5 linked regions of the Oryzias latipes genome follow. The protein of the gene in region 5 interacts with the protein of the main gene of each other region in a pairwise test. Links are inferred from orthologs where the notes say so. Each region holds a gene or a part of one and is shown on either strand. Other genes may lie near its edges. The genes, in order: mettl17, ppp1r16b, nck2, cwf19l2 and sf3b4.

Region 1 (4,665 bases), on a different chromosome or scaffold from region 5:
CGTTCAAACTAAGGAAACGGGCTGATGTACCTTTGAGAAGTCGCTCTGCCAGCGTGTTCATCGGCCCTGAACTGTCCACACACACCATTTCCCTCAGAAAGTCCCCCCACAGAGAGTGGGACGCCCTTGGATCAGAAAGACACGCTCAGCCAACACTTTGGAGGAAAAACCCACACCGGCAACAATTCAGACACCAACCAGGCTACTGTTCCCAGTCCAGAACCAAAGTCCAGAAGCGTCTGAGGACTAAATGAAGGATCCCTCTTCTTTATCTGAATTGGTAGGTTTGAGGCAAAATCAGTTGGAGAAGACACAGAGAAAACAAAGATGGCGTGCTCCTGCTGCTCCTCCCGTCACTTCTGACCTCATTCAGAACTCTCCTGACCGCTGCATAGCCTCCAGCAAGCCGGCTCGCCATGTAAACCACGCCCATCTCTTCATCGTACCTGAAACACCAAAAGTGATCCAATTCAAGCTTCTTTGACTGTAACTGTAAGATCAGCTAAAGAAAGAATGACAATCTAGTAGTTTAAGAACACGATGTCCATCGTGTGTTTTTAAATGTCTGCCATCACTTTTCTCCACTAAACAGCGATGGGTCAGAAAGGGGGCATTACTTCAGAGGAGTCCAGTGGTAAATCTTTTTCCTGAGTTCTGAAAAAACCCTCCTCCTGATCTTGTCTTCCAGTGCTTTCTCATCAAAATCTGGAACACAAAGTAGAGGTTTTTCCCTGTAAGGTGAGCTCTTGTGACTGTTTTCAGGCATCAGCTATGACTGGATCCCTCCCTGACCTACGGTGGCCCTGGAAGGGCAAATCACATCTACGAACCGCTGGACGCAGAAACATTTTAAAGATCACGACAATTAAAAAGACAAAACAAATTTTAAAAAGCAGCACTACATTTTAGAAAACAAAACTGCAGAGACCAAGAAGAAAAATAAACAATTTGGAAAACAAAATGAAATGTTTGAAAAGTGAAACACAATGAGAAACATCAGAAGGTAGGTACTGAGGGACATGGCTGAGTGGACGATGAAGGTTGTCCATCAATTGAACTGTGAGTTATTTGTCTTGAGGCGATACTGACATCATCATCATCCAATCAGCGATGTTTCTCAGTATTTACCTTTTTACGGTTTTTCAGTGTTTCAGTTTTTGGCATTTCTATGTGTTTTTTCTTCTTTCATTTATTAACATTTCATTTTGTTTTCTTGAAATTAATTTTGTTTACAAAAAAGTTTTTGATTTTTTAAAATTTGTTTTTGATGAAATTCATTGTTTTCTGTAATGTTTTTTATGTTTTGGTTTCTGGAATTGTGCTTTGTTTTTTTAACATGTAATGCTGCTTCATCCCATAAACGTTGTTTTTTATCATCGTCGTTGGGATCTTTAAAATGTTTTTGTGTCGAGTGATGTGTTGAATGATTGGCCCTTCAGGGCCACCGTACTGACCTTCTGTCCTCTGCATGGCTTTCTCCCAGAGGTCCTTCTCCAGGCTCAAAGCTTTCTGCCTCACTGTCAAATCCTCAACTGCTCGCTTCCGGCTCCAAAGGAAGTTTGTGAGTTTCTGGGAGCGACCAGGAAGCTGAGCGATCTGAGCTCCTGGAGGGTGGAGCACACATGAGCATCAAACTACTCTTATCGTTTTGTTTTTAATAATCGGGCTGTGTTTCTTGTACAGTTAATGCACAATAACAAAACTTACTGTGAATCACTGACAGTGCAGCCATCTGGAGGGTTTCAGGAAGACGCTGAGTCTTCAGGTTGGTCAACCCTGGGTGCTTTCGATGAAGTTCTCCTTTCAGAAAATCCTCCTGAGGCTGTGGACGAACCGCAGAACCCAAGTTCTGAGGCAAGAAGATCCCAGAAAAATCTAAGTTTTTTTGATCACAAGATCAGAACCGATTCTGATTGAACTCAATGTGATTTTATTAATATCCATTTGTTATAGTTCCCTTTCTAAAATCACATTTTGTTTGGTTAGGAAAACCTAATTTCACAATTCTAGTCACTTCAACCAAATCAAGAAGACAGAACTTTAATACAATTTCCAATTCGGTTTCTTTCACTGACAAATACAAAGATATATATATATATATAGGACTAGTGAGCCACTATCCAGGATGAAACATCCAAGATCCATGAGTAAATCAAGCTCAAGGCCACAACTGACATTGTTCTCAGTGAATGTCTCAGGCAATGGAGAGCAGAGGATACAGTGCTGGAGGACAGATCCTCATGGGAGGACAAACTCCTGCATGGGATGTACCACCGGACCATAACTGAAGTGGCTGATATCAAGAAGTCCTACCAATGGCTAGAAAGGGCTGGCCTACAGGACAGCACTGAAGCACTCATCCTGGCAGCTCAGGGAGAAATCCTGAGCACCAAACCACAGAGGCAATGGCGAACCAACCAGACATTGTAGTGGTGGATAAAGAACAGAGGAAAGCCGTTGTGGTGGATGTGGCAGTGCCAAGCGATGGAAACATCAGGAAGAAGGAACATGAGAAACTGGAGAAATACCAGGGACTCAGAAGAACTGGAGAAAGCCTGGAAAGTGAAGGTGACAGTGGTGCCTGTGGTAATTGGAGCACTCGGGGCAGTAACCCCCAAGCTGGAGGAGTGGCTACAACAGATACCTGGAAAGACCTCAGACCTCTCAGTCCAGAAAAGCGCTGTGCTAGCAACAGCTAAGTTACTGCAGGAGCCTCTTATTCCAGCTCAAAGAGAAAGCTGTGAGATTGATTTACACAAACAGGATTTTTTTAAAGCGTACAAATACGCTTAGAAATCAAAAAAGTATTGGGAAAAAAGCACATTGGTAAAGATATAGCTGTTAGGCTTCAAACATCTAAGCACACAGATCAGGTATCGTTATATACATATACTATGTCTCATAGTAAATAGTATGACCTCCACAATTAGCTGCGTAATGATAAATCGATTTACGAACCCTCAACATTTTCTTTATTCTTGGTGTTTTCTGACCAAAAACAAATGCTCCGTATGTTCGCCATGCCATGTCTGAACAAAAAACAATAAAATCCAGATTCGGATTATAATGTACTCCCCCAAAAACCACGCTGGGAGTTTGCAGTCCTTCAGCAAAATAATTCCGGTTTTAGCTGAAGTGGAACTTGTTGTCTGTCATCTTTGGTTCCTTCGTGAGATAAAGAGGAGGGCTCACTCTTGTCATCTTTGGTGGTCCTACGCAACTGGAAAGAGCAGAATGTTTCTTTTAATAGCTTTTACTTAATTTCCACAAATTTAAAAGGTTTTAATAAAATACAGATAGCATACTAAATATATTTTTAATAATATAAAATGATTTTTCGTGTGTTTTGTTATGTTGTTATGGTTTAGATTAGAACGATGTCACTATTTAATTCTCATTTTGATAAACGAGTTAGCTTCTGTATGCCTAAACGATCTTTGGCCGCGGGACATCCTTAACACATGTCCGACTAGGAAACATCGCTCGAAAAAAGTTTCCCGCCCTGCTCCACAGTCTCATCATTGTTCCATTCTGTTCTTCTGTTTTCTATCTAGTTTACAACATGAGGCGAACTAGGGGTTCAATGAATAAAAACCAAAGTTTGCCAAAAAACGAAGACATGGAGTCAATAACAGGTTTGTGTTGATGTGAAACAAGTTAGTTGTTCAGATAAACTGAACATGTCTAGACTAGACTCTAGTCTTCGTGTTTTACGCTGTTTAAAATGCTTTGTTACGGTTCAAAAACCATACAGTGCCTTATTGAGACTTATGTGTGTGAGAAAAAGGCGTCAGACTTGGATGTCTGCGCGTGTGAAACAAGCGGCACCTGCGTGAACAGGTATTCTGTGTTGATGCTAGAATGGCAGTGGCAGGGGGACGGAGGCCGGTGGGAGTCATACCCGCCGGCGGCGTGTGCCCTGCTGGATTCGGCTCTGTCTGCGGGAACACCGGCCGTCACTCTGAACGCGGGTTCCGGCACCGCATACGAGGTGGATCTGAAGAACATGGTCCAGATCAATCCTGTCACAAAGTACCGAAGGAAAATTCGCAGTCAGACTGTGAAACCAGGTATGTTTTAAAGGTAGAAAACACACCTCCATCATCCAAGGTTTTGTATGTGAGAGATTCAGTCAGAAACAAAAGTTGTCTTTCTTTTTTCTTCTGTCTTAAACAAACTAAGTTTTAGGCAGAATTCAAAACGACTCTTAAAGAAACGAGTTCAGTAAAGTTAGCAAATAGTCAAAATCAACTAATTTACATCTGAGACAAAGGAAATTAGTTGTGGTGTCCCACAAGGATCAATTATGGGCCCTCTGCTATTCGATATTTACATAAATTATATATTTAATGTTTCAAAACTTTTAAAACCAATATTATTTGCTGAAGATACAAATACATGTTAGTTTACAGACAATCATAAGGAACTCCGTAATGTGGGAAATCCAGAACTAAGTAAAATAAAAGCATGGATGAATGGGGTGTAGTTTGTAAAGCTACAGTCAAATATTGACAGCAATATTTTTGGTTATTTAGCCTGTTTCAGGAGAAAAAAAACAGGTTTCTCTGAACTGATTGGTGGGAATTTCTTATTTTCGTAACTTTTTATTTTCTGTCGCTTCCTGCATTTTCTCCTGCATGTCTTGAATCAGTCAAGCTCAAGGAC
Region 2 (3,876 bases), on a different chromosome or scaffold from region 5:
TTAGCATCACATTATCGGCCATCAGCAGCTTCTGGACCTAAAGATCTTTTCTCTAATAAATCCATAAGAACAAAGTGGATGATCTTTAATGTGCTGCAGATGTTGCATTCAAGTCCCAATCAAACCTTGGGTTTCACCTCCATGAACCTTTACTTGTTACACTCATATCATTGAACACTAATACACACAAGGAGAACTTCGATGGGGATGTGGAAAGTCTGAAAGTGTCTGAAGTGAGTGAAATGGTAATTAGAAATCTAGTACCAAGGGGAAGTCACGTTAGATTCAAAAAGTACACAAACAGGATGTGGATATCAGCATTTAAAACCTTGTTTTTTCCCCCTTATTATTATTAATTAGACTGAAAGAAAACCTTATTTATGTGTGTAGAAGAAAACCAGACAAACTGCAGAGGAAACATGACATTTTCCAGTCCTTCAAACCAAAGTAGGAACAAAGAAACAAAGTAATGAACTCAAAAACAGATGATAAATATTGCATAATGTCTCAGCAGCTCCACTCCCTTCTCTCCTAAAGAAGATATTCTAATAAGCCACACTCCAGTTTGTTTCTCTATGCTTAAATGAAGATTAACAGAAAGCACAAATCAGTTAGAGAAGACTCGGAGACAAACAATCTGGGATACGAATTTAAAGCTTAAGGGGTTATTTTAGGACACTGTTTACAGCCAGTGATCTGGCAGTGGCTTTATATTGTAGTCAAATCCCAGATACACAAAACAGACCTCATTAAGTTCTGTGATGCAACACACACTGCTCAGAATAACAAAGAGGTCATAGTTTTTGCTTTAAATCCTTTTTAACTGTTCTGTGCACTGACATCCCAGAATAATACCTGATATAATGTTGTCAGAGGACTTTAAGTCATCTTTTTATCTCATAAAACCAAACCAAAGAGACTTTTCTCACCAACAGAGCCCACCTTCATCTTCCTCAACTCCGATATCTGTTGTGGTAGTGTTCCCAGCCCAGTGCTCTACTTCCTGTTTACACACACAACTGTACAGCCACTTTCAACTCTAAGACTCTATTCAAAATCATTCCTGTGAATGCCCTGGTGGTCTGGAATTTTGTACAATAAACATCCTAATGGAACGATATTACTAAATAACTTGTAACCCTTGTGCTATCCTAGACACTTTAACATTGGGAGTTGGGTCATCTAGACCCACTAGACAGTGCTCTGAACCTTTTTTTCTTCAATGATTTGTGATCTTCACTGGTGTCCATGGATTACATGAAATCTTTCCACCTTTATCCACCTTTGTCATGGTAGGAAGAACACGTCAATGTAAGGGTGGGGTCATAGGATAGCACACGGGGTAAAGGATATGAGAAATCCTATTCTGTATAAAAATATTAGTGTCCCTTCAAAGTCTGTTTTGGTCTTTTTAGGTGCTCTCTTTGGCGAATCATTAAATCCACTGCTCTCTTCTTTGGGATAGAGAGCAACCGTTCTTAAACTATTAAAGTAGATATATATAGTTGTTGGCTTTCAAAGATTTATTTAAAATAAAATTTGGTTAAAATCCGATTTTAGTTAAAGACAATGACGTTAAAATTGCATTAGGCTGTAAAATGGTGAGGACTACAAATAAATGGAGGAAGCTTTGTTTTAAACAAAGTAACAGAACTTCATCCTAATAATAAAAGCCACAATTTAAAGAGCAAAAGAACCAAACATAAAACAAGTCACAAAATTAGAATGCTAAAACAACATTCTTCATCCTGCAATACATTCAGATGGTCAAGCGGCTAAGCAGAGTCATAAGAACTATTCTATCTGAAAACCTGCCTCCTACTTTTAGCCAGCAGGACTCAAAAATGAAATGAGACGTTTCAGGGTTGGATTGCTTACCAGTGTGGCCCCCTGAGCATCCTTCTTGTTGACTTCCTCTCCCTGCCTGAGCAGCTCCTGAATGTCCCCCAGCATCCTCCTCTCCGTTGCTGCTCGTGTCTCATTGATCATCTCCTGGGTGATGCCTGTCATGCACAGAGAATCACACTATATAAGCCAGAGCAGGGCTTTTAATAAATCTTTGATAGAACATAAATTGTTTAATATGAAATTCCTACAGAGCCTTCTGAAACCGGGTAAAGGATTCACTGAAGTGACGAATGGGATGTCTGACAGAGGTTTACTGGTTCCAACAGGAACAAACTGCTTAGTAAAACTGACTAAGGTCAGATTTACTTTATTTATATGCTAAGGTGAATTCGGTTAGCATTTTTGCATAAACAGCAAAGAACCAGAGCAGGGTGGAACAAAGTCATGACAGAGCTATTTGAGTTTACAACAAAAAAAAACAATAAAGGAAAAAACATTAATAAAACAAACAGAAGAAAAATTAGTAACTAAGAAAAAGGACATGATTGTAAATAGGGTGCAAAAACTGTTTAGAGGTAAGAAACAAAAAGAAGTGCAATAAGTACTGAACATACAACAAAAATAAAGAATTTACAGCATTAGTATAAATTTACAAGGACATAAAAGAATTTACTTTTTTTGTTCCAAAAATTTGGAAGGTTTATGAGTACCTATTCAGAGAAACATTATATTTAAATGTTATTGTTTCAGCATTTTAAGATGAAGATGGTTAAGTGATTGATCTTCACATACATCACTTCACTTGCCCAAAAAATTCATTCATGATTTTTCTAATGAGAAATAATCTGCACCTATTTTAGAGAATTGATCTGCATGTGCTATGTTGATTTCTAAAATAGTGTCGTCTATTTTTATAAAATGATGAAGCACTTCATCTTTGTCATGTGATTTATTGATACTTAAGGATTCTTAATTCTTTCTGATAAAAAGTTGATGATAAATCATGTAATAAAAATGGTCCAGTAGAACAGGGGAGGGATTATAGAAGTTCACTTCCTTTCACTCCCTTTCAAGCAATCTTTGATTTAATGTCTAATTATCCTAAGTTTGATGCGTCTTTGTATGAATGTATAACTGCTGATTGTATTGTTTTGTGCATCATTCTTGCTTTGATTTCTTGAAATAAACCATTAAATTAAGTTCTGTGCAACATTTCTATTTGGGCTTTAATAACATGAATCAAAGCTGTTTTGGTTTTTTAAGTCACTCGCATAAACAAGTGCAATCGAACAGCACGACTAATCTGCCTTCCTGCTTTTAGGAAGCTTCTGTGCTGTGAGCGGGAAGCTTCTCTGGGAAATCCATCTGTGCAGCGCAGCAGTAAGACACTGCACTGTCCAAAACAACATGATGCAACCCAAACAGTAACATTCCTCACAACGTGTGCAGTCTAATATGCAAAAAAAATGAAGCAGCTTCTCCAGGCTATCAAACTTTCAAACTTAAATGTTTACCACATTGTTGTCAAGGTTACACTGTTCTTAAGTAGCAACAAACAAGTCCAGTATCCATAATGGCTAATTAAGTCTAAAGTTACAGCTAATTTTCTCCTGAAAGCATGACCTTGTATTGGTTTAATGTAAAAAGAGTGTGGAACATAACTCAACAAGCTTGTGTCCCCACAGAGGACAAAAGGCAAGAAATTCTTTAAAAGCAAAATAATGATTCAATACTCTGCTGTCGCCAATTTTTAGGATTTAATTTAGCAAAACGGATAGTCTCTGCCCCTCTCTAAGCTTGTATTCAGCCAAAGATAGTTTAGTAAAAACAAAAAAAAGGATACCTGCATATATGGCATTTTACTGCTACACTAAAGTGAGCTACATACCATGAATATTACTGTTTGGGTTTAAATTCTTAGAAGTATGAATTATTAAATGAATTGTATTTGAGTTTGTATTTTCTTTCCATTTTTCAGAGTTTTAGATTTTAGATAGGGAGCTCTGGTTTTTCTCTTCGCCGCATCCT
Region 3 (3,876 bases), on a different chromosome or scaffold from region 5:
TAGAGATCAGGTCTTTATTTCCCGGAAAGTACGTTCGGTTTGCTCAAAAACCCGGATTTCCGGGAATTCCCGGAAGACTTTCATCACTGTCTATTAGAAATCTTCACTTCCTAAAGTTTACCTCAATTATGATTCCAGCAAAACTCAGAGGCTGTTGGAAGCGTCTAAAACAAAACTGCGACTCCTTTATCTCAGGAGGATTTTCTGAACTTACCGAGGATTCGCTGTCTCGTATGAGGAAGTCGCCCTCCTCTCCCCTCTCGTTGAGGAAGTGCTCGGCCTGGTGTCTGGTGATGTTTCCGTAGTACCAGTCCCTGTCAGCGAACCTCCCTGAGCGCGGCGGCGCCAGGCGGTTCTGCTTGGGGCTGGAGAGAGGAAACGGCGTGCCGGGCTGCTCGTCCAGCACAATCACATAGTTTTTAGGTACCAGTCCCACAATGCCGCGTTCGTTCCTGCAACTCCACCACTCGGGATCGTTCTCCGGCTTGTCCACCACGTCCATGATCTCCCCCTTCTCAAAGTTCAGCTCCTCCTCTGTCACTGAGGTAAAGGGATACAGAGTCTGGACCCTGTGAAGAACTCCGCCGCGGCCCCCCGCCCGCCCGTTAGCTAACAAAGTCCCTGCAGAACCCCCGTGGAAGCCCCGCGGGGAATCTCCACTGCCTCCGTCCTCCGGCCCTCCCACCTCCTCCTGGACGTAGTTTGATGGGAACCAGCCGACTCGGCCGGCCTGAGTTCCCCGCCACCACCCGTCACTGCACTTCTCCATCACGATGACCCTGGAGCCTTTAACCAGCGTCAGCTCGTCGTCGCGCTCGGCCGTGTAGCCGAACTTCACCACAGCGGGAATATTCAGATCGTAGATCCTCTCTGCTGCGCCGCCTCCGACCCCCCCACCGCCTCCGCTGCCATTGGAGGGGAACTCTGTGTCCGAGCTGGGCGTCGGGGAGGCATCCCGAGCGCTCGTCTTCCTCTTCGTCTTTCCCAAACCTGCAGATAAGCAAATCAAACGAGAGAGCTGACACTGAAAACTTTTGAGAGTTTAGAAACATCAAACATTCAATTTAACATCTATGTTTAGTTGTTTTTTTATTTAAACTTCAGGAGAAAGACTTCACAGAAGTCTAGGAGTGTTTTCTTTTAACTTTAGGGATGCAGTTTGTTTGTTGCTCTCGTGATTTTTGTCTAAATTTCATTTTAAACCAACTTCATTTCATGTTGAAAATCTGTTTTCTCAGCTGAAAATTTACAGATTCTTCCATTCAAAATAACCCAAACCATTTTAAAAGGAAAACTGGTTCGTGATTTGATGAATCGGAGTTCATTTTCTCCGTAGAAATTAATATCAATGAATGGATTTTTTAAAACTCAGTATGCATAGCATGAATCACAATACACGTGAAATCCCCTCAAAGACAGAAGCTGCAGAGCTACTTCTATCCGCCTGATTCTGTGCACAATTTCTTTCTTTCCTTTGTTCCTACACATTGCTCTCCAGATTTCTGAAGAATCGGTTGTTCAGGGAGGTTTTTTGCAGCAGGACCTTTAGGATGGTCTCTCACCAACCCACACATGCTTTACTTTGAATAAAAAAGGTGCAAAAGCAGTTCAAGATAAAAAGCAAGCAAATCTGGGACAGACTAAGTGGAAATGTTGAAGTCGGAGGAATCCTGGGCATGAGGAGAAGGCTGACCCAGACTACGGAAAAGCCGGGATGTCCCTCACTGTCCCACAAAGATCAACGTATTCCCCTTGTCATCACACCACACACTACATATAAACCTTTTAAAAACATTTGTACCTTATGCTACTTTGTACACTTTTACTGAATAGTCTGTCTGCACTGTATTTAATCGTATCGAGGTTCACTTGCAACTGAAGCCAGGCCCTTGTTTTTGGTCCACACCTGCCAAACAAACTTTATTTAAAGAAACAAACAAAAGAGTTTATTTGCTTAGAAAGGCGATTCTGTTGGCTGTTTGACAAACAGTATGAAGGTGGTTTCTTTCTTTAACATTGAATCTTTAGGCCCACTCTGATGAAAATGGTGTTTTGAATATGTTCTTGTGGCATTTTTCTGATGATGGAGGACAGACCAGTATATAAAATTAAGCTCAACATTGCATTTCTGAGTATTTCTTTATGTAATCGTTGTGAATCAGCAACAGGGAGCAGGAGGGTTGATTACGGTCCACAGTAGGCCTGCACAATATACCACAAATTTATCGTTATCGCGACATCAAGCTTTGCAATATGCATACCGCAAAAGATGGCAAAAATCGCAATAAATGGTTACCTTGACCCTTGTGCTATCCTAGGCACTTTAACATTGGGAGTTGGGTCATATAGACCCACTAGACAGTGCTCTGAACCTTTTTTCTTCAATGATTTGTGATCCTCACTGGTGTCCATGGATTACATGAAATCTTTCCACCTTTATCCACCTTTGTCATGGTAGGGAGAACACATCAATGTAAGAAGGGGGGGGGGGGGGTCATCTAAGATAGCACAAGGGTTAAATGTGCTAAAACAAACTCATGGCAGCTTGAAATATTGAATAAATGAAATAAATCCCTTTATGCATTTAACCAATCGGAAGGACCCGTTTACGCTGTTGATCAATCAGATGAGCCCTTTTATGTTTGATGTTTGCCTCCTATGTCGACGAGGGTCATTTGGAGTATAATTTTTATACTGTTGCATTGAAATGGAAATGATGCTTTTGGTTTGTTTGATATTTGTTTATATACCGCAAATTATATCGTTATCGCAATATTAATCACCAATATCGCATATCGCGAGTTTTCCTCATATCGTGCAGCCCTAGTCCACAGCAACTGTTCCACCCATACCTCAACAGAGAATTTCTGTGGGGGAAAAAACCTGCCGCTCAGCAGAAACAATGATGTAGAAAAACCACAGTGTTTTTTATTTTGGCCAAAAACGACATAATCCTAATTAAAAGGGAACACTTTTCCAATAGTTCAAAAGATGATCAGAAAAAGAACATTTCACAATTTCATCGTGTAGAGTGGTGCAAATGGCTTCTAAAATAACATTTAACAGCTAAACCTGTGGACATGAGAGATGAATATCTATAGGTAATTGAATTAAAGCTTATGCGCCAAGAAGAAGCAGTGTGAAAATCAAACAAATGTGCCAAGTCTCATAACTACAGTTAACCTCATTTCTGACTAAGCTGCAAATATTTACAATTTTTTCCCTAAGCATTTTCTCTAACAGTCAGTTTTTCTAAATTTTCAATTTTTTATAAAAAAAAAGTATTAAAAACTAAAGAAAAAAAACTTTTTCCAGGATCAAGGAAGAATCCTTGTGTTATATACCTTGACACGTGCTCCTAAACGTCCAATGATGACAAACTGAATAAACTCAGTGCAGATGAAGCCTGCAGACTCAAATAGAAACATAGAAACTCAATCCTAAAGAGTTTCTATTGCTACTGCATAACCTTTCCAATGATTAGCCAAACACATGAAGCATTTCCTGCATTTCCTCATGTGAACTGCACAAGGTGTGGCATTGTTTAACTTGTTTGTCCTCATAAAACACGCCATCGTGCTTTTGGAACACTCAGCAAGCTTGGTGCCACCTACTGAAGTGATAGTTTGGAAGTGTTTTAATCAATCAGCTATTGCAGATCAGGCTTTCAACTGAAAGAAGAACCTGCTGAAAGAAGGACTTAGTTTTGACAGACGGCCATGATTAGATTTAGTTTTGAGTGGCAGGAAGCTCTGTGGGGAGACAAGGGATTGTGGTCAGCATGAAATCAGCTGAAGATGACCATTTCTCTGCCATGCTCCTAGAAGGCGCCATCAGTAGCTCTGCACAAACTGGTCCGGAAACACGATAACCTTA
Region 4 (4,617 bases), on a different chromosome or scaffold from region 5:
AAACTGCCTTGCTGAGCACACATACCAGCGAAGAAGATAGACGCCAAGTAGCGTCTACACTGCTGTGAAGAAATAATGACGGACATTCTTAAATATCCCCGAACCAAGTACCAGTTGGAGCTACTGATGCTTGAAATATTCATGTTTTCTTTGTATGATTCTGACAAGCGCGTAAATACTTGCTCACTTCTTCTGAGTGAAAAGCGACTTTAAGAAGCGTAAAGGTGCGCAGCGCCACCTTGTGTACAGGAGTATTTCTGTTTACATTAAGCGCCATCTAATGTCAGGGAATGAAATTGCATGTTCGCTCGGCTCACCGTCAGCGAAAATCGCCTGGGTGTGAACACAAAAAACGTGGCGAAAAACGCTGGCGAATAACGCCTGGCGAATATTCGTCCCGGTGTGTACGGGCCTTGAGTCATTTCGAGTCACCCAGCCATTTGGCTGTGCTCTGGACGCTGCAGGGGGAGTGAAGAATCCTGGGCGTTCTAGTGTTAAATCGTAACTAAATTCTTCACCTGAACTCAACCCAAAAATATTTTTTCAGTTATAGAAATTATTAAAACATCTTTGTTAAGAAACCACTCAGAAAAACTTGTTGACAGATCATTTGTGTGTTTGTATCTCAGAGTAATGCATGGAAGACGGTCTACCTCTGAATCCACACTTGAAGCATCTCCTGCTTCCGTTTTCCTTTTCTCTTTCTTGTCCTTCTTCTTCTCTTTTTTCTTCTTGGATTTCTTCTCCTTTTTCTTCTTTTTGCTCTTCAAAGATCCATCCTGGTAAATGTTTGAATTTAGTTCTTTAAATGGAACCTCAGTTTGTTTAAAAAATATATTTGAATTGAAATAAATACAATTAGCAGGAAAAGAGTGAAGCTGCCAAAATTCTGCATAAGCAAATTTTGAAGCCACTTCTGCAAACATGAAGATTTACCAGCAAACGTTTAGCTTGAGTACAGGAAAAAAAAAAACAACTACCCAATATGTTGACATAAAAAAACAAATAAGTTTTCATGGTTTAAAAAAGATGAAAACTGGTTTGCTGTGAAGCAGGTGGTTTTAAATTCTAAAATGATAAATAAAACTTTATTTCTCCGACAATGGCAAACTCAAAGCAGCATGTAAGGAAAAAAAGATGAAAATTAGATTAGGTAAATATAAAAATAAGGCATAAATACTTTCTTAAGAAATGTGCCACCATTGGCATGTTTCTTTAACAACCTATAGCTCTAGAAAATGATTAAACATGATTCACGTCCAACTGCAGTCATCTTTTGATCCATTTTCAAAGCATTCCCAGTGGTATTTTAATAATAATTATGCTCTTTTAGGCAAAAATTTATAAAATCTGTGTTGTTTTCTAGGACAGTTTCTGCAGGGTGGCAGGAGTTCATTAGAAATTCACCTCGGAGTTGTGGGTTGGACTGTTGAAGTGCGCTCATTACCCATGAACCCTTTGTTTACACTCCCTCCAGCTAGCTCACAGCCCCTCACAACCCCAATCTAACATTACCGGTGCAACAAAACTGGCGAGCAGTCGTCCAGTTTTAAGACAGATTTCAGCTCAGACTGTCTGCTCCTGATTCACAACAATATGAATACAGAAATACTCAGAAATGCATTTTTAATCTCAATTTTCTTGATATATTTTATTCAACATGAGAAAAATGCAACAAAAACATGTTAAAAACAACATAAATACTATACTCATTGGAGTGGGTCTTTAAATGATGTATTTCTGTCATTGTGCTGCTTATTAAATGTCTTTCTGAAGTGAAACAGATACAACTTACGTCTCCTAACTGCTCCAGTCTCTGGTTGACTTCAGGAAGTATCCAGGTGTCCTCTCCTCTCTGCCTCTTCAGCTCCTTTCTCCTCTCCTCCTTCTCATATTGTTGCTTAGCCTTAAAAAAAATAACATTTATTATAATATCTACAGCATACCAGTATTTGTGGTTTTACAGAAATGTACTCACACATTATGTTAAATTATGCTGAAGTGTCTAGAAATAAATGGTAACACTAAACAAAGATTTGAACAAAATCTAGACTTCACATACTATTTTGGGATTATAAGTATAAATGTGAGCTGGAAAATTGATTACGATTATATATTATATTCAGATTATAAAAACAGCACAGAAAGTAAAGAGATTTGGCTAAATATGTTTTGCTGTATATCGGTTGAAGATAAATGTATAGATTGAGTTTTCCTCAGTTCTGGGCTCCACTCGGTTGTTGTCAGTTTCCTGGCGCTTGCGCAGAACAGATAAGAGTCTACAACACATTTATGTGCATTTAAAGGGAACAGCTGTAAGTGCTGCGTAAATAGCTATGTTCATGTTTGAATACAGCTATTAAGATGTTCTTGTTTTCTATCTGTGGACAGTGAATAACTACAATCTGGACAAAATGTAAACACGAAAAAGACAGGCTGCCGCCGTCTGCTGTGCTATATCGGTCACTGACTTTCACCACTTTCAGTGTTTGTGTCATATTTCCCTGCAAGCGTTCAGGGAGCATGCAGCAATGGTCCAAACAGGAATAATCTGAAAAATGTCCCGACAAGCGCTTGCTTAAAACTTCATCACGACAGCAAACCTTCTCAAAACGTCACATAGTCCCGGTTGACTTGATCGTTGATGGTACCATCCTTAGCATGTCGGTTAGCAGGTCAATCAATGTAAACAAAAACAAACGGCGGCGCGGAAATACTTCACATCTGCGTTCTAAAGAGTCCTAGTTCGTACCTTTTGTATCGCCTCTTGTCGCGCCTGTCGTTTCTTTTCTTTCGCTTCTTCGATGTTGCTGGAACTCTCAAAACTGACTCCGTACGCCGCCATAACTACGTCGTACACGGGTCTAGCCAACTGTCGTAAAACATCGCTGTTTACGACAGTTGTTTTGTGGTTCTTGTAGTTCCATTAACCCTAACCCTTAATGCCTAATTTTCCAAAGAGCTAAATAAGATGATTATGATAAATATAAGGCCCACTATCATTATTTTGTTCTATAGTTTTCAAGCATTACATGTGCAAATTAGCGGCTTCAGTGTCCAATGCAGACCTCTCCCATCATCTGTTGTCACCGTTGTCAGTTCCTGGAGTCCAAACCAAAACGGAGAAGCTGCATTCAGCTTCTATGCTCCACAGATCTTCTGGAACAGACTTCAGGAAAGCCTTAGATCTGCTAAAACACTCAGTTTTTTTAAACCCATGTTAAAGGCCCACCTGTTCTCAACAGCATTTAATTAATTTAACTTCAAAAGTTTACATCAGCACCGTTACTCTAAGCTTATTTTAATTTCCGTTCTTTTTAACTTTCTTTAATTTTTATTTTAATAATCACCCCATTAATATCTCCAGTAAATGTTTCCTTTAATGTTTTATGTAAGGCACTTTGAACTACCTTTGTACATAAAATGTGCGAAACAAACTTGCTTTGAAAAAATAAAGTTTGATTGATTTGCCTTAATGTTGGAAATAAAACAAAAAATCTGTGCTGGCTGCTCTCAATTTAAAGTCCCTGATAATTTCAAAGCACAAACTGAACTTAAAAGGAGACCAAAAATCACTTAGATGTGTTTCTTTTTCATTTATTGAATGATTTTAAATCCAAGTTGAAAACTCCCTTTTTCCCTCTGTCTTTTAGCTCAGTATGAGTTGGTGATTTTATTGATGTTTCTTACTTTTTTATTATGTTGTTTATTTTAGATTGTTGTTTTTTTTTAATCTTTCATTGTTAAGTGTTTTAGTCAGCCTCTGCTGGGTTTTTTTTTAAAGCGCATTATAAATAAACTTGACTTGACTTGAATTTTTAAAGATAAAAGAAAAATAAAATGATTTTTAAAATATGAAATACCAACAAGCAAAAACGAACAAAAGAGTCACAAATATCAAAGCCCTGTAAAAGACAGTTTCTCAAAAATCTACATTTATTAATTTCTCTTAAAATCTCAACAAGAACATCTTTTCATTTTGTCTCACTGTTCTGTTTTTTGTTCTGCCAAGTTTTTATTCGCACAGACATATCTTTCTGCATTCATTCCTTCTGCAACACAACACACCAGTTGCCCTGGTCATGGTAACTGCTCTTCACTTTGACTCCAGACACCTGAGCACACAGATGCTCCAGCTCCCCCTGCTGGAAAACATGGTAATAGCGATGAAAAACTGGAACTGTGCTACTCTCCAGTTTCAAAGCAGAAGCTGAAGCCTGAGGGAATGCTGGACTCAGCTTAGCATCTGCACGCTGGGAGGAGTTTGAGTCCGACCCCAGGCTTGAGTCGGGGCTGGAGCTTAAGTCAGGGTTTTCCTCTAGCTGCGATTTCCCTCCCTTAAGATGCCAGGGAACCAAAAGATCCTGGGAAGTAAAGGCTGTGCGGTTGGTGTGCACACTGAGGCGAGCATCAGGAACTCTACTAACACCTTGCATGTCAGAAGGTTTATGGCTGTTTTCTAAGTGGCAGGAAAGATCAGATACTTTTTCTCCACTGGATTTCTGGCTCTTTTCTGACAGTAAGTTGGTGGAACTGAACTCTCCATGGTCTTCTTTGAAGATTTGCTTGAGGTATTTGGACTTCTGCTTGTTGTATTCTTGTTCAAAAGCCCAAACA
Region 5 (4,340 bases):
AAAAGGAGTTTGGAAAGTTTCTGAGCTGCTTTTCCTTTTTTGGTTTGAGATACCACAACTTTACATTGAGAAAATAAAATACAACCTCATAACACTTGTTGAAAAGTAAAAATCTTTATAGTTAGGCACCCTATAAACATGAAGGCAGTTGATCCGGTGGTCTTTTGAAGACGCTTGTGAATGCAGTTTATTGGACTGTCTCTACTTAAAAGATCAGTCTGGATTTAGGCAAATTAAACAGCAGGAGGGCTGGCATTTGTGCAGCACAATAAAAGTTTAGGAATTGGCAACATAAAATAACAGAAAATTATCCAAAAGACTGAGATTAAAGTCTACCATTTGGAATTGTGTTATGTTGATACAACTTTAAGAAAATAGGTAGTATTTGATTGTAAAACCTTTCAAAAACATCTTAATTAAAACTTTTTGGCCTTTACACTTCTTACATAATGGATCTGTAATTTGCTCAGTTACTTGAAACATTTGAAAGATTTCTAATGAGACTTAAAAGGAATGAACAGTTTGACTGAAATAAAAATTTGTTTTTTTCTGCTAAGTCTGTGACTCAAGTTGGATTAGTCAAAAGACTTTTTTCCTTTTTCTTTTCGTTTGATTATTATTATTATTATTTTTAGAAACAATGATTGCAATATCATAAGAGCCATCAAAAAATGATCTGAACATCTTTTTTATTAAGCTTTTGGAGACTTTGACCTATGTGTGTCCTTTTTGTTTCTTACTTTTCTAAATGAGCAGCCATTTTTAGCTCTTAATGTTCATTTTTTTTTAATGTAAAAGTCTCAGCTCTGTACACAAATGCATTTCACTTATGTTATTATTGATCAAGGCTTTTTTAACCCATTTTTATATATGCATTTATAAAATGAAAACATTGGCTTTTTGTGTTTTGAACTTTGTTGCATGACATGCTTTTTTATTTTATTTTGATACAGTATTGTTTTATAAAAATGGTTTTATTATGCCCAAATTGTATTTTGTATGAACAATTTGTATTCCATGTTTATACTTTTAGTAGATTTATATAAAAATGTATATAAATATGTAATAAATTGGTCCGTACAAAGTTTTGAACTTTATCTGGTCTTGTGTTTTTATTGTTCGATGCTATTAAAAAAATAATCTAAAACGAAGCAAAGATATTGTATTTTATTTTTTGAAAGAGGAGTTCATTTTATATTATAACTTCCGGTTTGCTGAACAGGAAGAGGCGGAGCTTCCTACATGAACGCTTCTGGTGCGTTGGTCATTCAACATGGCCGCGGGACCAATTTCTGAAAGAAACCAAGGTAATTTACGGAATTATTACCCATTTCTTTTGACATTTAGCCGTGCATAAATGTATGTAATGTGTAGTAACACCCAACAAGGGCACATTTTTCCTCATAGAGCGAATATGGATCCTAAAATTAGCTAATATTCTTCTGTTGAAACCGGGTAAACACATGGAGTGAAGCGGCTTTAGCCTAGCTTGTAGCTAATAAAGCCATTCTCCCAATTAATCGTTTATCGAATTTGCACTTTAGATGCACGTCCTTTTATATAAGCATTAAGCTGTGAAAAAACGTATACTCATTTCCATTGTTGCAAATCTATAAATAGAAAGAGAAAAAGCAATATTTTATGCCAGGAACTAATACTAAACAACTGCAACTTCTTTCATAATTTAACTTCAGTTCATTGACCTCATTTTATTCTTACCAGGCAGCATGATCATTAAATTTTTCACAGTTTCAACAATGGTTTTAAAAAGAACTAATGAAACTTTAAGTGAACATAAATATGGTCATTTCTTTTTGTAATTCGTATTCATTAACTTGTGTCAGAAAGTGGAAACCTTTGTAGTGTTTTACTCACCAAGCCTGCTCTTGTCTGTCCAGATGCCACGGTGTATGTCGGTGGGTTGGATGAGAAAGTGTCGGAGCCGTTGCTATGGGAACTCTTCCTGCAGGCTGGTCCTGTGGTAAACACGCACATGCCCAAAGACAGGGTCACGGGTCAACATCAGGGTGAGTGCACTTTCAGTTGGTCAACAAGATTGAACAATTATCTTCTTAGAAAATTATCTTTACAAAATTGTTTTTCTTTATTTAGGTTATGGCTTTGTGGAATTCCTCAGCGAAGAGGATGCTGATTATGCTATTAAAATAATGAATATGATCAAGCTCTATGGAAAACCCATTCGAGTCAATAAGGCCTCGGCACACAACAAAAACCTGGATGTGGGTGCGAACATCTTCATCGGTAACCTGGACCCAGAAATCGATGAGAAACTGCTCTACGACACATTCAGTGCCTTCGGTGTGATTCTCCAAACACCAAAGATCATGAGAGACCCAGACACCGGCAACTCCAAGGGTTACGCTTTTATCAACTTTGCCAGTTTTGATGCTTCTGATGCCGCCATCGAGGCCATGAATGGCCAGTACCTCTGTAACCGGCCCATCACTGTGTCGTACGCCTTCAAGAAAGATTCTAAAGGGGAGCGCCACGGCTCCGCCGCAGAGCGACTCCTGGCGGCGCAGAATCCGCTGTCCCAGGCGGACAGGCCCCACCAGCTGTTCGCTGATGCCCCACCACCTCCCTCTCTTCCCACCCCGGTCCTGACCACACTAGGAGCTGGAATGGGTATTCCGGGCATGGGAGGTGGGTGTTACGTCACATTTATGTGAAAATAGTTTTGTTTTTTTAAAGACTCGCTTTTATGAACATTGTCTTTTTGATGTATTTTTGTGGCATTTTTCTGATGATAGAGACAAAGAAAATGTAGCTCAAACTTGCATTTGACTGCAAACTGCAAAAATTAAAAACTGGATTTAAATCTGAAGCAGACAAAAAAAAAGGATTTTTCTGTAGTTTTACATAACTACTGCCATTCCGCAGAAACTATGTTCTAGAAAACAACACAGGATCTTTTGATTTTGGCTAAAAATGGCATCATCACCATCATCATTTTCATAAAAGACCGCTTTGAAAAAAGATCAAAGGATGATCAGTGTGGGACTTGTGTTTTGTGTTAGCCTAAACAAGTGTTTTTACAGATACAAATTAGCAATTAGCTGCAAAAATACAAACAAATGTACCCACAAGTCCTTCAAGTAGATTGTGTTGATTTGTGTGTGCAGGTCTGCCACCTCCTGGTGCCTTTCCCCCTGTTCCTCCCCCCGGATCACTCCCTCCTTCCATGGCCCATGGCATGGGGATGCCTCCATCAGCAGGTGGCCCACAGGGTATTGGCGGTCCAGGTGGACCACCACCCTTCCCGCCTGGAAGTATGCATCCAGGTGAGACATTGTGACTTCTTAAGAGTGGTTTTTGTCTTTCTGTCGGAGGAAATACAGAGGTTTTGAGCCTCAGAGCCGCGTTTACTTTGTTTGGCATCCGCATAAACATCTGAAAGTCAAAGCCTGTTCTCGTTTTAGTATCTAGTTTTTCTTCCCGCCACCTCCAGTTTGATCCGTTTCTGTCACTCAGGTATGCCTCAGATGCCCATGCACCCTCCCGCTCCGCCTGGCATGGTTCCACCTCCTCCTGCTCCACCAGGATCATCCCAACGCGCCCCGCCCCCCAACCTCCCCCCACCCCCGCCTATGGGCATGCCGCCCAGAGCACCATATGGACCCCCCATGGGTGAGTGTTATGACGCCTCTTCATGTCTCTGTCAAATAGAAAAAACACCTGAAAGGAAAAACGGCGTTGAAGGAAGTGTCAGAGTTGGCAGGATTTGGCAGAGACGCTCTGAAAGTGATGTAATGGGGGTTTGGTAAGGAACCAGGTCCGCCAATCATCTCAGTCACTGACTTACATTTATGAAATCACCTGTGCTTGTAGCATCCTAATATTTGAGTTGTTGATAAAGTAAAACTTCAAACAAATACCTACCTTTTCAAACTAAACTTGCTAATGAATTATTGTCAGCTGAATTAAGGATATCCTGATCAGATTCAGAGTCGTTTGGTTTTTAGTTTTGATTTGATCATTTTAGACTTAAACAGAGCACTTCAGTGAATAAGTTTGAACAATCGAGTAAAAATAGTGCAGCTTGGCCGTGGACCTCGTCTCGCGCCCCTAGCTGTCCCCCAGTTCTATCTGGATGAGGCCCGTCTGCTGGACTATTTAAACATCTAGTTGTAGATTTAGATAAGCTAATTCTTCTCTAGGAGTTCTGGTACGTCGCCTGTCCGTCCTGGCGAGAATCCCTACTTCATGTTGACACCCCTGCAGACTTTTAGCATAGTCGTTTTTGATCATAATTAGAATACAAGACATATAAGTTCTCTGATCCGGAAATAAAATCCGATTCACGCGATTCAGCTCCGCAC

The links.
Region 1: the proteins of sf3b4 (region 5) and mettl17 interact in binary tests that used the Homo sapiens proteins (3 or more experiments, as listed by UniProt). The link is inferred for Oryzias latipes from reciprocal best matches to the Homo sapiens genes SF3B4 and METTL17.
Region 2: the proteins of sf3b4 (region 5) and ppp1r16b interact in binary tests that used the Homo sapiens proteins (3 or more experiments, as listed by UniProt). The two-hybrid records come from large-scale screens. The link is inferred for Oryzias latipes from reciprocal best matches to the Homo sapiens genes SF3B4 and PPP1R16B.
Region 3: the proteins of sf3b4 (region 5) and nck2 interact in binary tests that used the Homo sapiens proteins (3 or more experiments, as listed by UniProt). The two-hybrid records come from large-scale screens. The link is inferred for Oryzias latipes from reciprocal best matches to the Homo sapiens genes SF3B4 and NCK2.
Region 4: the proteins of sf3b4 (region 5) and cwf19l2 interact in binary tests that used the Homo sapiens proteins (3 or more experiments, as listed by UniProt). The two-hybrid records come from large-scale screens. The link is inferred for Oryzias latipes from reciprocal best matches to the Homo sapiens genes SF3B4 and CWF19L2.

What each region holds. Positions count from the first base shown.
Region 1 is NC_019875.2:3,349,050-3,353,714, forward strand, and holds the start of mettl17 (methyltransferase-like protein 17, mitochondrial), read right to left. Parts: upstream 3,152-4,665; 5' UTR 3,028-3,151; coding exon 2,959-3,027; intron 1,850-2,958; coding exon 1,708-1,849; intron 1,605-1,707; coding exon 1,455-1,604; intron 706-1,454; coding exon 618-705; intron 447-617; coding exon 365-446; intron 273-364; coding exon 199-272; intron 126-198; coding exon 31-125; intron 1-30. Other genes in the region: parp2 (poly [ADP-ribose] polymerase 2), read left to right, coding at 3,563-3,635, 3,861-4,070. UniProt on the Homo sapiens protein: Mitochondrial ribosome (mitoribosome) assembly factor. Binds at the interface of the head and body domains of the mitochondrial small ribosomal subunit (mt-SSU), occluding the mRNA channel and preventing compaction of the head domain towards the body.
Region 2 is NC_019863.2:11,192,777-11,196,652, forward strand, and holds part of ppp1r16b (protein phosphatase 1 regulatory inhibitor subunit 16B), read right to left. Parts: intron 2,004-3,876; coding exon 1,879-2,003; intron 1-1,878. UniProt on the Homo sapiens protein: Regulator of protein phosphatase 1 (PP1) that acts as a positive regulator of pulmonary endothelial cell (EC) barrier function. Involved in the regulation of the PI3K/AKT signaling pathway, angiogenesis and endothelial cell proliferation.
Region 3 is NC_019879.2:10,329,339-10,333,214, reverse strand, and holds part of nck2 (cytoplasmic protein NCK2), read right to left. Parts: intron 991-3,876; coding exon 215-990; intron 1-214. UniProt on the Homo sapiens protein: Adapter protein which associates with tyrosine-phosphorylated growth factor receptors or their cellular substrates. Maintains low levels of EIF2S1 phosphorylation by promoting its dephosphorylation by PP1.
Region 4 is NC_019871.2:20,782,203-20,786,819, reverse strand, and holds the start of cwf19l2 (CWF19-like protein 2), read right to left. Parts: upstream 2,885-4,617; 5' UTR 2,846-2,884; coding exon 2,753-2,845; intron 1,907-2,752; coding exon 1,796-1,906; intron 780-1,795; coding exon 654-779; intron 1-653. Other genes in the region: alkbh8 (alkylated DNA repair protein alkB homolog 8), read right to left, coding at 4,044-4,617.
Region 5 is NC_019869.2:7,216,163-7,220,502, forward strand, and holds the start of sf3b4 (splicing factor 3B subunit 4), read left to right. Parts: upstream 1-1,213; 5' UTR 1,214-1,273; coding exon 1,274-1,307; intron 1,308-1,898; coding exon 1,899-2,027; intron 2,028-2,112; coding exon 2,113-2,664; intron 2,665-3,143; coding exon 3,144-3,302; intron 3,303-3,492; coding exon 3,493-3,648; intron 3,649-4,340. UniProt on the Homo sapiens protein: Component of the 17S U2 SnRNP complex of the spliceosome, a large ribonucleoprotein complex that removes introns from transcribed pre-mRNAs.